Linked DNA regions of Sus scrofa. The protein of the gene in region 3 interacts with the protein of the main gene of each other region in a biochemical or structural test. Links are inferred from orthologs where the notes say so. Each region holds a gene or a part of one and is shown on either strand. Other genes may lie near its edges.

Evidence for each region.
Region 1: the proteins of MYO6 (region 3) and TAX1BP1 form a complex in vitro, tested with the Homo sapiens proteins (5 studies listed by BioGRID, with this or other methods). The link is inferred for Sus scrofa from reciprocal best matches to the Homo sapiens genes MYO6 and TAX1BP1.
Region 2: the proteins of MYO6 (region 3) and DAB2 form a complex in vitro, tested with the Homo sapiens proteins (7 studies listed by BioGRID). The link is inferred for Sus scrofa from reciprocal best matches to the Homo sapiens genes MYO6 and DAB2.

Annotation. Positions count from the first base shown.
Region 1 is NC_010460.4:44,907,091-44,912,204, reverse strand, and holds the start of TAX1BP1 (tax1-binding protein 1), read left to right. Parts: upstream 1-1,939; 5' UTR 1,940-2,097; intron 2,098-5,114.
Region 2 is NC_010458.4:24,773,763-24,779,006, forward strand, and holds the start of DAB2 (disabled homolog 2), read right to left. Parts: upstream 3,176-5,244; 5' UTR 2,824-3,175; intron 1-2,823. UniProt on the Homo sapiens protein: Adapter protein that functions as a clathrin-associated sorting protein (CLASP) required for clathrin-mediated endocytosis of selected cargo proteins.
Region 3 is NC_010443.5:90,029,317-90,033,985, reverse strand, and holds part of MYO6 (unconventional myosin-VI), read left to right. Parts: intron 1-1,794; coding exon 1,795-1,833; intron 1,834-4,083; coding exon 4,084-4,177; intron 4,178-4,669. UniProt on the Homo sapiens protein: Myosins are actin-based motor molecules with ATPase activity. Unconventional myosins serve in intracellular movements. Myosin 6 is a reverse-direction motor protein that moves towards the minus-end of actin filaments.

The DNA.
Region 1 (5,114 bases), on a different chromosome or scaffold from region 3:
CACCGCGTCTGCAACCTACACCACAGCTCACGGCAACGCTGGATCGTTAACCCACTGAGCAAGGGCAGGGACCGAACCCGCAACCTCATGGTTCCTAGTCGGATTCGTTAACCACTGCGCCACGAAGGGAACTCCTGTAGACTTTTTGATGATGGCCATTCTGGCTGGTGTAAAGTGGCACCTCATAGTGGTTTTGATTTGCGTTTCTCTAATGATGAGTGATATTGAATATCTTTTCATGTGTTTTTTGGCCATCCATATGTCTTCTCTGGAGAACTATCTGTTTAGATCTTCTGCCCATTTTTTAATGTGATTGTTTTTTTGGTATGGAGCTGCAGAAGGTGTTTATAAATTTTGGAGATTAATCCCTTGTCAGCTGATTCACTTGCAAAGATTTTCTCCCATTCTGTGGGTTGTCTTTTTATTTTGTTTAGGGTTTCCTTTGCTGTGCAGAAACTTTTAAGTTTAATTAGGTCCCATTTGTTTATTTTTGTTTTTACTGTCATTGCTCTAAGAGGTGGATCTGAGAAGATGTTGCTGTCGTTTATTTCGAGAGTGTTTGGCCTATGTTTTCCTCTAAGAGTTTTATAGCGTCTGGTCTTATATCTAGGTCTTTAATCCATTTGGAGTTTCTTTTTGTGTATGATGTTAGGGAGTGCTCTAATTTCATTCTTTTCCACGTGGCTGTCCAGTTTTCCCAGCACCACTTATTGAACAGGCTGTCTTTTCTCCATTGTATATTCTTGCCTCCATTGTCATAGATTAGTTGGCTGTAGTTGCTGGGAAGAGTAGCACTTCTGAAAAATTCTGCTTATAAGGGTTCACTGCCGTATTTACATTGCTTAAGAGACACAGACAACCACTGGAAGGTTGCTACCAGTAAAGCCAGGTGATTACTGATATTATCACACTATCTGTAATCTAAGGAAATTGGTACTAAATGTTCTATAAAGGTTCTTCTGAAATCTATCAAGTATGATAAACAGAACAATACCAAATTCAAATATTTCAATATATAGGAAACAAATCAGTTAGCAGATATTGAGAACCCTTATTATCAAAGGCATTGTAATATTAAATATGTTGGAAGTAAAGTATATTGAAGAAGATTTTTGTACGTTTTGAATTTAGAAGATGCTTCAACATTTGACCTGATCTAATTTATTATCCTTTCTTCACCTGTGATGTTGCAAATTTTATCAGGGTTTGACGGCAACACAAGTACATGATTGTAAGAGACCACACTTGCCCCCGCGGAGTTATGATTTAAACTGAACCCCTACTCTAGGAAGTCATAACAAATGACTTTAGAAATTATAACTGAATAAAGGATACAGGACTAAATAAATTCATGCACGCAAAATAACGGATAACAAAAGCAGTTAACTCGAAGAAATGCGGGTAGAACGAGCAAGAGGAAATAGAATCATAAAGCACTGGAATTGCAAACTCCTAAGGGAAACCGAGGTTTCACAAGGAATAAAATCTCATTGTTAAGCAAGCACTGGGCTGGGCCAGGAGTTTGAAGAGAGTGATGGATTGCAGCCCCAGCCACGCGGTTGCTCTTTCGCTTCTTTGGTTCTTCACTTTCTGATCCACAAAAGAGATTCGCTTGGACAGATTTTTAAAGATCCAGACAATGACCTGGTGCCAGTTTAAACACTATCCTTTCCACTTAACTGGTAAATTCCTTGAATTTCCGGTCAAAGTAATAATTAAAAAGCCCAAAGGACCCTGTTTGTTTACGGCCAGGTCTCTGAGCAAAACCGGCAGGGCGGAAGAGGAGTAACAGCCGAACCGACGGTGAAAGCCGGTAAGGAATTGCCCGTGGCCCGGCCACAGGCAACTAACTGCCAAGGTGATTTAACGTCCAGAACAACCTGGTTGGTGTTCCAGCTGACCTCGCGTGGCTGCGGCGGCGGCGGCGGAAGGGGCGTGTCCCTGGGCGGAAGTGACGTGCTCCGGCTTTAGGCCCGGGGAGGAGGTGTAGCCGGTCGGTAGAAGGAGGCTTTGGTGGCGGAAGAGGATCGGGGCTGATGGCGGCTCAGGCTCAGAAGTCTTTTTAACACCCTTATCTGCCCAGGAGCTGCCCACTCGGTAAGCTCTTTCCCCTGCCTGCCCCACCGCCTGGCGCGGGGCGGACCCCCGCTGGAGCTCTTTGGGGGTTCGAGAGACTCCCCCCCTCAGTAGAGACTAGGGGCCTGGCTGATCTCGGGAATGGTCGCCCTGGTGACGAAGCTGCCTAGTGACAGTGCCTTCCTTCCCGGGCTGCGATTGTGACGGGGGTGTGGGCCACTTCGGTTAGCAGTGGAGTTGGAAAAAGCGACCGGTGGCCGCCTCACAAGGCGGGGAGGCCCTGGGCTAGGCCTTCGCAATTTGGGGGACCTGTGTGGGGCGTGGACCCTTTGGCTGGGGGCGAGTGACGCGGTGGGCCCCCCGGAGAGGACCCTGCCTCGCCCGAGGCTCAGCTGCGGGGTGAGTGTTTTGAGGGCAGCGTGTGTGCTGTCGACGTAGATAAACTTGGGAAAACATCTAGGTCGCCTCGGGTGGGACGCTCGGGCTTGCCCGTGAAGGGTGAAACCCAAGTGTTTTGGTTTGAGTCGCCGGCAGATTAGGAGGCGGGGACTCGGTGCGCCGCCTACGTCTCGGGGCCGCGGGCTGGGTTAGCTGTTTTGGTTGGATCACCGACTTCACCTGGGCCGCTGAATTAGCAAACACTTTTCTTTTGTTTATAAGTGGCTCTACGCCGAGTTCTCGAAGGGATGTTTTAAAATCTTGGGAGGAGAGCCACGTTTGTCTTTGCTTAGGCAACTTTTCCTGATTTCACAACTCTCCCTCCCTCCGGCACCCCGGAGCTCCGCAGGTTGTGTACAAGTCCCGGCAGGCGTTCGTCGTTTCGGGGAATCTTTATTAAGAGATTAGTATGTGCGTGCATGTTCTGATAAACATTTATTACCTGATTGATAATTTGGGAACGCTGTGACGTTTGACTTTCTACGTACGCTAGGTTTTTAAGTTTCGGAAAGTAGTTAGGAATTGCTGTTAAAAGTCAGGCTTGGGAAAATCGTAACTTTTCAACTCTGCATTCCGCTAATTGTGGAATATTTACAAGATGCAGGAACAATTGCTAATTGTAATTTTGGAGCTCAACTCCAAAAGCATTTAGAGAGATCATTTGAGTAACATGTTAATCCAAGAAGTGAGCTAATTAACCTTAAAGTGCTATTTCCCGCATAGAAGAGGGCTGAGGCCAGTCTTTCTTTTCGTGCTTATCAAGGATCCACTTAGGAGTTACCGTCATGGTTTAGTGGTTGGCGAATCCAAGTAGGAACCGTGAGGGTGCGGGTTCGATCCCTGGCCTCTCTCAGTGGGTTAAGGATCAGCGTTGCTGTGAGCTGTGGTGTAGGTTGCAGACGCGGCTCGGATCTGACCTTGCTGTGACTGTGGTGTAGGCCAGCAGCTACAGCTCGGATTGGACTGCTAGTCTGGCAATCTCCATATGTCGCTGGTGCGGCCCTAAAAAGACCAAAATAAATAAATAAATAAATAAATAAAAGGATACATTAGAAATAACTTACTAGCTTTGGGGTTTTTTTTTTTGTAACGTCAAAGAATATCCTATTTTTATTTTTTAGTCATCACATTTTTAAATTGCACACTCCTGTTGACAATAATGGCTGCAGCCGTTTGTGTAGAATTAAACTGTAAATGCCTTTTCCTTAACAAAATAACAGATATTTTGGAATTCTAAGTTTCACCCTTTTTTTTTTTTTAATTTTTTTTTTTTTCCCCACTGTACAGCAAAGGGGTCAGGTTATCCTTACATGTATACATTGCAATTACAGTTTTTCCCCCACTCTTTCTTCTGTTGCAACATGAGTATCTAGACATAGTTCTCAATGCTATTCAGCAGGATATCCTTGTAAATCTATTCTAGGTTGTGTAGTTTCACCCTTTTTAATGATATATATTTATGAAAGATTGCAACCATGCTCCTTTTTTACTGCTTTGGAGGAATTATCTTACATGTGATGTTTATTGAATTGCATCCTTTTGGAATTTGGATACTACTCAGTATCACTCTTGGCTTTTTAAAGTTTATTTTGCCCCATACAAACTCCTACGAGAAGATAAAGATTCTCTCCCCTCTAATATATATGGGCCAAGACCATGGCTTTTTAGAAACCAACTTTTAAAACAATATAAAAATTAAATATAAGTGGTGACACCTGGGCAGAATAGCCTGCTATTCAGCTGTGAAGAGTTTTGGAGATAGGGAAGACTGTAAGAGTGCACATCAACAGACTGATTCTTTTGTTTCTGCCTCCCAGAAAGATTGTTGATAAGAATTTTTTGGTTTGTAAACCAGCTGATAGCCTTTTTTTTGAGCTGAAGTGTGAATAATTGGAAACTATTAGAATATTAGACTTATTTTTTCCTTCCTGATGTTCAGTTTCCTCTAGGACTAAAGTTTGGAAATAAATTTAAAAGTTCATCCCCCCTCTTTGGCCTCTCCCGGATGCTTCTATGCCAGGGATCAAGCCTGAACCACAGCAGTGGCAGTGATGGGTTCTTAACCTCTTGAGCCACCAGGGAACTCCAAAAGTTCATAAGTTTTTAACCGAAAAACTTCCGTTAAGTTAGTCAGCTACTGTGTGTAATATGTTTCTATTGAAGGAAGTCGTACTGAGTTTTTATTACTAATCTTTATTTGTCTACTTTGGTTTTATTAACTTTTATTATGGTAATTTTCATACATACATGAAAGGAGAATGGAACAGTTAAAGGAACCACTGTTTTGCTAATCTTGGTTTATTTATTATTTATTTATTTATTTATTTTACTAATCTTGGTTTATTACCACCTCAGCACATTTACTGTTTCCCCTGGAGTTTTTAAAGCAAATCCTGGACATAAGGATATTTCACCTATAATTAGGTTATTTAACTGATAAGAACTTTGAAAAAATACAGTCACTATAATAATATCAGTAGAACATAATCACCTTATATCTTTTTGAATTCTAAGTGTTAGAATTGGCAAATTATATGAAATATTTAAATTAAGAAGCTTAATTTGACTATGTTTTTGCACAGAAATTCTTAGTATGGTCT
Region 2 (5,244 bases), on a different chromosome or scaffold from region 3:
AACTAGGGGCACCCGGTTTAATGGTCAAGTTAGGAGATTTCTGTGGGTCAAGTGGATGCTACTTAGAACATAGTTGAGGTTGTTTCACCCCAGTTCCAAGACAGTTTCCCACTGCACCTCAGCTGCAGAAGGCTATAGAGGATATGGCCAGTGACAAGAGCTCCAAAGGGTTGAGCTGGATTTCCAACTTCTCAAAGATTGGGGCGCAAAGAACTCACATCTCTAGTCCCCAGAGAAAGCCAGAATCTGGAGGCCTGCCACACAGAGGGCACCCCCAGCCAGGCTGTGGCCAGAGAATCAGCACTCGCCGAGAGAGAGATGTTACACAGTGGCCTGTTGGCACAATACTCTTCATTCTCTGTCTTTCCCGTCAGCCCAACACCCAGGGGGAGTAATCTTAGAGGGGAATACAAGGTGGTAGTGCTCCTGAGATAGGCCTGCAGTTAGGCAGGGTGCCAGTTCATACATGCACTGGGAAAGTGGAGGAGGGCAGAAGGTAAAGATAAACTCATGTTTAATGACTGACTGCACTGAGGCTTAATATTTGGAAACAACTGGGAAATTTTGGAGCTGCCTCAGATGCCTGAAGAGATCTACCTCCCAGTAGAGAATTAATACTTGATTATAGAACAGCTGGGAAGAATGATTTATAAATACAAAGGCTTCACATTTCTTACTGAGTTAGCAATGCTTTCTAATTTAGGTACATGTAGAAACCCACTGAAATTTGTAGACACCTTGCACAGAAAGAAACAAATTCAACCCCAAACCACTATCAAAGAAACCTTCCTTCTATTACTGATTTATCTCTGAATCTGACAAGTAACACCATTCACTATATTCCCTAGTGGACCTTCTGGGGATCAGAACATGGTCAAAGGTCCCCATGGAGGACATGCAGAAAGGCAGTCTTGTTCTGACCCAAAGGAGCTCACAGCATAAAAATAAAGTGAAGACAAAGGGAAGTCCCTACTCAGATCACAGCTGAGAATGAGTGCCTAACTGGTTTCAGGGTGATCTGGAACTTTCTGGAACCATGGAGAACTGCTGATTAGCATATCAGGAGATATATTACATAAGCCAGCCATGTTTAGAGATAGCTGATGTGTTTGTTCTTCTCGCAAAATGTTTCATGATATTATAAAATAGTAACAGCTATCCTTGAAATACTTCTGTCTAATTCTCTCTCTGTTCTCTCACTCTTCCACCTCCATTGCACACATATATATTGCTTGGCGTATCACTTGTTTGTCAACTCTCTTCCTGCCAGCCCTTTATTAGTCTATTTTCTGGCCAATTTCTTGCTTTCTCAGATCATTTTCCCATAATCCCTCTGAAAATCTGAGGCACTCTGCTGTAATGGAATTCCTTGGACGATATAATATTAGTCTTTAAGGTATTGCATTAGCCATACACCTATTTGGAGAGGTCTCTGATTTTTCAACTTCCTCAGTGAAATTTGCTTCTTCTCTTGAATCCTCTATGTTTCAGCCAATTCCCCCCTTATCTCCTTCTTCTCTGGGACTCGGCTTCCCTGAACTTTAGCATTCCCTTTAGCCAATTCTCCTTGGAAGCTATTTTTTTCTACTCCTGGGGCATCCTCGACAATAATGTATAAGCAACAATCACAGAAATGTGTACAAGAAACACTGATAATTGTCAAATTTTAGCCTCAGAAGGTTTTATGCATAAGGATTCTGTTGATGCTAGAAGGAACCAAGTCATCAGAGGTAGGTGGCCATGAGAATTAGCTAAAATGCATTAACATTTTCATAGTAACATATAGTAGCAAGTAGCATAGTATAATACATATAGCAACAAATAACATAGTCATCTAATTCTTAACTCTGTGCGAAGTCACATTGTGCGTTTGTAAGTAGGACTTCAAAACAACCCAATAAGAAATGGAAGAAAGGCTGTTTCTAAAGATAAGTAGTGAGTCTGGCCTCCCTACCTTTCTCTCTCTCAGTTTTTAAATGGGCTCAAGCAATTTGAAAACCAAAATTACTGGACAGAAATAATTACTGGGCAGAACTGAGATGCCTTATGTGGTGAGGGTAGGTAAATTTTTGTGAGGTTGTAACAATGGCTCTTTTTTATGCCCTGGAAGTCCAACATTAAACATCCACTTCCATCAGGGACTTTGGAATTGCAATATATCGAATGAGCTATGCTTTATTACATGCTGATGGAAGTAATCACGGCATAGTCACGCATTGCAGATGCTAGCAACTTCTTCCCTTTTGATGTAAAATATAACATGAAGTCTTTGCATTAAAGTCAGAGGTATAAAATCTGCTAGCATCTGTAAATATTTTATTCTTTAGGTACTCCCCGGTGCTGAAAATAAAATGTAGAGAACGTTGCCTGAATTTCTGAAATAACCTCCGACCAAGAAGAAACCACCCAGTTTCTTTATCATAACAGCTCCCCCTGCTGCTTCAAAGTGAGGCTTCGTGCCTATTTGCCGTTTTCCCTTCAGTCTTTGAGGGGCTCTGGAAGCATGGCTGGAAAACATTATCCTCAACTGAACCGTAGCCAGGAAAGTCTCAGGAGGGAATTCTTTCCTGACATAAAATTAAACCTGGCTTCAGCATATCTTCGGGGGGAAAAAGAAGGAAAACTTACTGTTGATGTTTCTTGGCTGGGCTTTCTTTCTGTTCTTAAAGCAACATTATTTTAGAAATCTGTAACAAAACCTGTCATCTGCCAAGTCAGCCCAAGCATCCCAGCCTCTCTCAGCTCAGCTCAGCTTTCTCGATCTTGCCTCCCTCCATGCAAACTGGGCGAAATTTATTCAAAAACAGATGCCTTTTAACTCACCTGTGGTAGAAGCAGTGACTGTCTCTTCCTTCCGTGGAAGGGAATCTGATGCCAAAAGTCCCACAGAGTCCAAGGCAGAGTGGCACCGATGTGGTGGTAGAGCTGCCAAGCCACAGAGTAACCAGGCCTCCAGGTGACTTGTCTTTTAGCCTTGCTGGATTGATAATTGTTGCACGACTTCAGCAGTGGCTCAGGAGCAACTGGCTGCAGGCAATATATTTTCAGGTCCAACTGGATGCACGGCTTATTTAGAGCAGAAAATCTGGGTGCTGTGGCCGTAGGAGGCCTCTGCCTCTCTGTGCCTGTGGAAGATGGTGTGATGAAGATTACTGTGTGACCTGATGCCACTGGAAGGAAGGTGCTGGGTTATTTATTCACCCAAGAGGCAGATGTTAGAATCACTGAGTTAAAAAAAAAAAAAATTGCCTCAATCCAGGGCGCTGATGCTCTGGTGGGTGAAAGACATCTTGCATCTCAAGCTGAGGCCAGATATACTGTTATCTACCAACCCAGTGCTGGTCCAGAGTCACCTTTTTCTCTGCCTTTCTATTCCCATCAAAAACAATGACTTAGAAAGTTTGTCAGTGGGTATGAGAGTATTACAGCAAGGGAACTGACACCATCAGAAGTTTTGTAGCACGCAGCATGATCATTATAGGTTCTGGAATGTTCAGGCACTGGTCTCTGGCTCTGAATGTGCTACTCTCATTAAAATGTATTTCTAGGATAAGAGAATGGTGTTTGGTATCATCTGTGCAGACCAGGAAACAGCATAGGACACACTTCACATACTCTGTTAGGAAGTGGCTGAGATGGGGGCTAACACACTGAGAACTTGCCTGCATGGCTTGGGTTTAAGACCTACTCCTAATTGTTTTCCTTGCTTAAGAACATCTCCCTCAACTGGCTTATGTAAGAGACTGCTTTTTGGATACGAAGGTATTCTCCATCTGAGACATTCATTTATCATTGTTATTATTATTTTGGCCACGTCCTATGGCATGCAGAAGTTCCTGGGCCAGGGATCAAAACCACACCATAGCAGTGTCTTAAGTTATAGCAGTGATAATGCCAGATCCTTAACCTGAAAGGCCACCAGGGAACTCCCTGAGACATTCATTCAAAATCTAAATATTTCAAGATAGTAAAGTAACATTATAGTGAACAGTGTTTTTAGCGGGAACAGTTAGCCAGTTAACTAACCACGCCCTGATGATGGGGATGACATTGGTGATTGGGAAGTGCTTCTTTGAAGAAGGTAGGTTGAGGCAGAAGGCTCAAGCCAGAGGCAGTGGGTGTTGAAGGGAGGGTTTTGGGGAGACAATAGGTGGGGAGACCTGGGCCTCTCTGGGACAAAATGAGAGCACTGTGAGCTAGCATTTGGCCAACAAGGATGGAAATCGTGAGGTCCATGAGGAGATAGGTTCAAGGAAGAGAGTAGAGTCGGAATATAAAATCACCTTCTCTCTCATAGTTTTCTGAGCCTAACCTGAGAACTGGTCCTGTTTTCCTCAATATCCAGATACTTACATAAAGTGATTTCATTGTTCCTCACCCTAATAGGTGATTTTCCCCTCCACTTGCTTGTGTAGGTCTCAGAATAAAGACTGGAGAGTTGGGTCCCAAAAGAGAGGGCCAGTTGTCACGACTTTAGCCTGCCTGTCATTGTCTCCTGCCTGGACCTATGCAGTTTTATTCTTTTCTCCACCCCCCCCCCATTCCAGATTCATCTCATACCCAAAGGCAACCCTGATGATGTCACTGGCCTACTAAAAGATATTACAGTTGGTCAGCGGAATAATTTCTCACCTATAGTAGGTTTATTTATTGTTAGAAACTACTTAGGCCTCTTTCCTGAGAGAGGATTATATATCTTTATCCAAGGCAATGTGACTTTTAGTGCCTCCTGGATTGAAGGGGTATCCTTTGCCCATGGATGTCAGGCTTGGCCATAGGCTTTATTTTGGCCAACAGAATATGAGCAGATATATGTCTTGTCTCTGGAGAGAGCTTCAAAAATCATCATATGTTTCTGCCAGTCCTTTGCCTTGGGAAACCAGGTTTCCCAAGTGGAAGCAGATCCTTCAGTCTGACTCGAAGAATAAGATGAGAGGACACATGATAGAAGAGCCATAGCAGCTGATCCACAGCTACCAACATGGAACACAAATGGGAAACAGATGTCTGTTTCTGTAAGCCACTGAGATTTGGGATTTGCTTGGTACACCAGCAAAACTGACTAATATAAAATCCACTCCACAGTTTTGCCTCAGTCTACATTTCCATACTGACATGAGTGTGACAACAGCACATGCATCCTATACTCCAGCCAATCTAGAAGCATCTCCATTCCCCAGCCCTGGTATTTCTACTTTTATTATTTTCCCAGCTCAAATTACCTGTCCCCAGTTTTCAATAAAC
Region 3 (4,669 bases):
CTGTAGCTCCAATTGGACCCCTAGCCCAGGAACTTCCATATGCTGCAGGTATGGCCCTAAAAAGCTAAGGAAACAAATACATAAACAAACAGATAAATAGATAAAATAGGAGTTCCCGTTGTGGCACAGCAGAAACGAATCCAATTAGGTTCGATCCCTGGCCTCTCTAGGTGAGTTAAGGGTCCAGTGTTGCCATGAGCTGTGGTGTAGGTCGAAGACACGGCTCAGATCCTGCATTGCTATGGCTGTGGCGTGAGCCAGCAGCTATAGCTCCGATTGGCCGCCTAGCCTAGGAACCTTCATATGCTGTGGGTGTGGCCCTAAAAAGCAAAAAATAATAAATAAAGATAAAGTACAAATAAAGCATGTGTTGCATAAGGCTGTTTATTTACCCTATGCCTTATGGTCTTTGACTCTTGTTCTTTGGTAATTGACATTCTTCCCTCTCCTCTCAGATGCTGTCATTTATTTTTGCTGCTTCTATTCTTCTGACTTACTTTATCCCCATTTTGGGGGAGACTACTGTCCTTAGTCTATGGATTAAGAAGCATAGCTTTGTGACAGTTGTTTTCTTTCCAAATTAGTGGCTCGTTCACTTGCTTTTCAGTTGTATGCTGGTCCAGACTGGTTCAGATTGTCAGAACTCTGTCAGCCAGTTAAGTGGGATGTGACTGTATTTTTTTTTTTTAAATCCAGTGACAAATTCACTCCATTTTGGTAACTGAAACCTGTGTCTGAAGTGTGCTGTAGTATCACATGAACCTTGCTGTTAGGCCCTTGTTGGAATCTTGGTTTTGCCACCCCATACCTCCATGATCTTGACAAGTCATTTACCTCTCTGGGCCTCCACATTTTCACCTAAAATGAGACTAATAATATGTCCTTAATTAAAGCTGTGTGGATTCAAATGTTATTGCCCTTGAAAGGTTTTGAGAAGTGCCTGACTCGTAGAAAGCGTTCAGTAAATTATAGCTGTTATTATTGTTAAATATAGTTATATTGAAATTGAGGAGGTAACATCTTAATTTGTGAGTAGTACAATAAGCATCTCAGTATAAAATCAATATAACATTTTTACCTAATTTACAGAGAAGTAAACACATGATTTTAATGAATTAAGCCAAAGGAAATTATAATCACTTAATATTATTTTAAAAAGGAGAGCATAGTAACTACTTGTAGTGTCCGTAGTGGAATTTTCTTGAGAAAATTATCCTTGCCTTTAAAAAAATAATTGAACTGTGAAAAGCTTTAAAACATTTAAGAGGGCTTTAAAAGGTAGGCAGGATGGTTTCGTTTAAGATTGATGTTATATAAAATAAACCTAATCTATAGCATTTCTGTATATTTTAAACATCTCTTCATTCTCATTGGAGTTTGACACAAGCTACACCCAGCTTGCCACATAGTCACACATTCACATACTGCTCCATTGTTTCCTCATTGAATGCATCACCAGCATTTTCATTTACTTCTTTCGTTGCCTGTATATTTTATCCTCATTCTCTACCTGCAAGTGTGCATGTACATTGTCTACTATTGCTGATTTTCAGTTTTATAACTATATGAGTTATATATAAAGGAAGTTATTGTTCTTGGTATTATATATTAGCCATGCATTTTTCATGTTACTCTGTTAAAAAGTTTGTGTACCAGAAGTTGTTAAATTATCATGTGCTATGTATCAGTGTTATTGCATGCTATTTTATTCTGTTGCTGAAGCACTAATATTTACTTATGATACTGTGTACTTTTGCTTTTTGAAATAATAAAATGATTTCCTTTCTTTTACAGACACAGTTAAATTTGCTTCTGGATAAACTTCGAAGTACTGTGAGTACACTTAAAAAACAAGACGGATTTTAAATGGTCCTCTTAAGCTCTAGTAGTAATTATAAGCATGGTAGACCTGGAACAGTTAAAAATAAGCATAGTAAACCTGGCATAATTAGCATAGTAATAAGCATAGTAAACCTGGAATAATTAGAAATTCACTTAAAACCTAATTCCCTCATTTAAAAAAAAGTTTTTGGGCCAGTTCCCGTAGTGGCTCTGTGGTTAACGAATCCGACTAGGAACCATGAGGTTGCGGTTTCAATCCCTGGCCTTGTTCAGTGGGTTAAGGATCTAGCGTTGTTGTGAGCTGTGGTGTAGGTCGCAGACACAGCTCAGATCCCAAGTCGCTATGGCTCTGCTTAGGCCGGCGACTACAGCTCTGATTAGACCCCTGGACTGGGAACCTCCATATGCCGTGGGTGCTGCCCTAGAAAAGATAAAAAAAAAATAATCAGTTTTTAAAATACTTGTCATTTGATTAGGTTTGTTCTGAAGAAAGGTCAGATATGTATGTGCAAATTATTTTCTAAATATATAGATTCTCTGAGTGTTATTAGGATTATCCTATATCTTCAGGAAGCTGAAAATAATTATTTTTTTAGGATTAATCATAGTGAATAGAATTCATTTTTTTATTCTGGTGGTAACATTCTCCAACACGATGGTGTTGATATGGAAAAAATGGACGTAATACCTAAAGGTCTGTAATAGAAGCAGTATTTCCTAGGAGCCTTTAAAAAAACAAAACAAAACTAGATGTTTTAGTTCCCTTTGTTTTTTTAAAGAAAAATTCACCACAGAAAAAAATTTGATATGTGGGTTATGTAAATGAGACATAATTTCAAGAGAAGGCTTATTTTTAAAACAAATCCACAGAGTTTAACTGAGTACTCTTCCTTTTCAGATAGTCATTTTGAAAAGCCAAATATTTATTTTCTCTGTGCTATCATTGCTTAACTTGTTAGACTTCCTTTGAAACCATTAAGAAATTATTTTGAATATCCTCATTTCTTAAAGTATTCTCACTGCAGATATTTATCTCTTAAGGATCAAAGTTGTTTAAAAACCAAGTTTGGTGAGGAGGTACTTATTTTTATTACCCAAATATGCTTCTGTAAAATGGTTAGATAACATTTGTGATTTTAAGAAAAGAAAGACTTGGGTCTTCCCACGTGGAAGAGATGGAACCCTAGCCACACCAGTGACCTGAGCCACTTCCGTGACAACCCCAGATCCATAACCTGCTGTGCCAGAAGGGAACTCCAGGATGATATTTCTAAAAAGCATTCTAAAAGTGTTTGCAGCAAGCATCATTGTTGCAATAACTATCCAGTTTTGGAAGATATCAACTCTGAAGAGGAACTGCTACTTGGATGTCTAATATACTAGCTTCAGTACCCAACACTTTCACTGTGTGCTTATCAGTGTTCTTTCTGCCTCATTCAGCATTACATTATGTGGTCACTGATTTTAAATGCATACTGTTAAGCTTTTAAAAATAACAAAACGGAGTTCCCGTCGCGGCGCAGTGGTTTACGAATCCGACTAGGAACCATGAGGTTGTGGGTTTGGTCCCTGCCCTTGCTCAGTGGGTTAAGGATCCAGTGTTGCTGTGAGCTGTGGTGTATGTTGCAGACTCGGCTTGGATCCCGTGTTGCTGTGGCTCTGGTGTAGGCCGGTGGCTACAGCTCCGATTAGACCCCTAGCCTGGGAACCTCCAAATGCCACGGGAGCGGCCCAAGAAATAGCCAAAAAAAAAAAAAAAGACAAAAAAAAAAAACAAAAACGAAACTTTAATATGTGCAGAGGTGAAGTTCAGGGACCTATATTTTTAAAGTAGAATGATGAGAAAGGTAGAATTTTTTTTTTTTAACACTTTGGCCTAAATTTGAAGAAGCATAATTTTATTTACTCATCTTGTCATAGAACAGTTTTCTTATCCCAGAAACAGCATATAAATACCTTTCAATGTAGAATATAGTCATGTGTGTCATCTTGCGAAAAGACTTTTTACAATAACACAAGTTTTTTGGCACTCAAATCCAAAATTGTTGTACTTTTCTATTAGTAGTGTATAACAGCTTTACATATAACTGTATGCTAGTTGTTTTAATTTCCTTAGTGATGATCTTAAAAGAGGTTCATAAATTAATGGTAATATTCTCTGAAAGTTGCTAGTATTCATTGAAATAGGAAAATAAGAATGTTATTTGTTATTGCTTTTTAAAAGTGCCTTTATTGTCCTAGGGAGCAAGCTTTATTCGTTGTATCAAACCTAATTTAAAGATGACAAGCCACCACTTTGAAGGTGCTCAGATTTTGTCTCAACTTCAATGTTCAGGTATTTCTTTATTTTTGTAATCTGTATTAGTGTGTATTGGGGTCATCATTCAAATACAGTTTAATATGTCCAGTGTTTTCAAACACTTCATAGCTATCTTCATTATTTTTAAATGCAGTAAGATTTTTATGTTTCTTTCATTTATAAGAAGAGCATGGGGAGTTCCCTGTGGTCAAGTGGCTAGGACTTGGCACTTTCACTGTGTGGCCCGGGTTCAGCCCCTGGTCTGGTCTGGAAACTGAGATCCCACATAAAGCTGCTTCATTCTGTGGCCAGAAAAAAGGAAGGAAGGAAGAAACTAAGGGAGGGAGAAAAGGGGGGGAGGCAGAGAGAGGGGGAGGGAGAGAGAGGGGGAGGGAGGGAGGAAGGAAGGAAAGCATAGCCAGCAAATTATTTGAGCAAGATTGGGTTAGAGTTTTATTGTGAAATAAAAAATGAACTGTTTGCCATCATTGCAGTAAAATTTATAAAAGTTCTTTAACTGTAAACCTG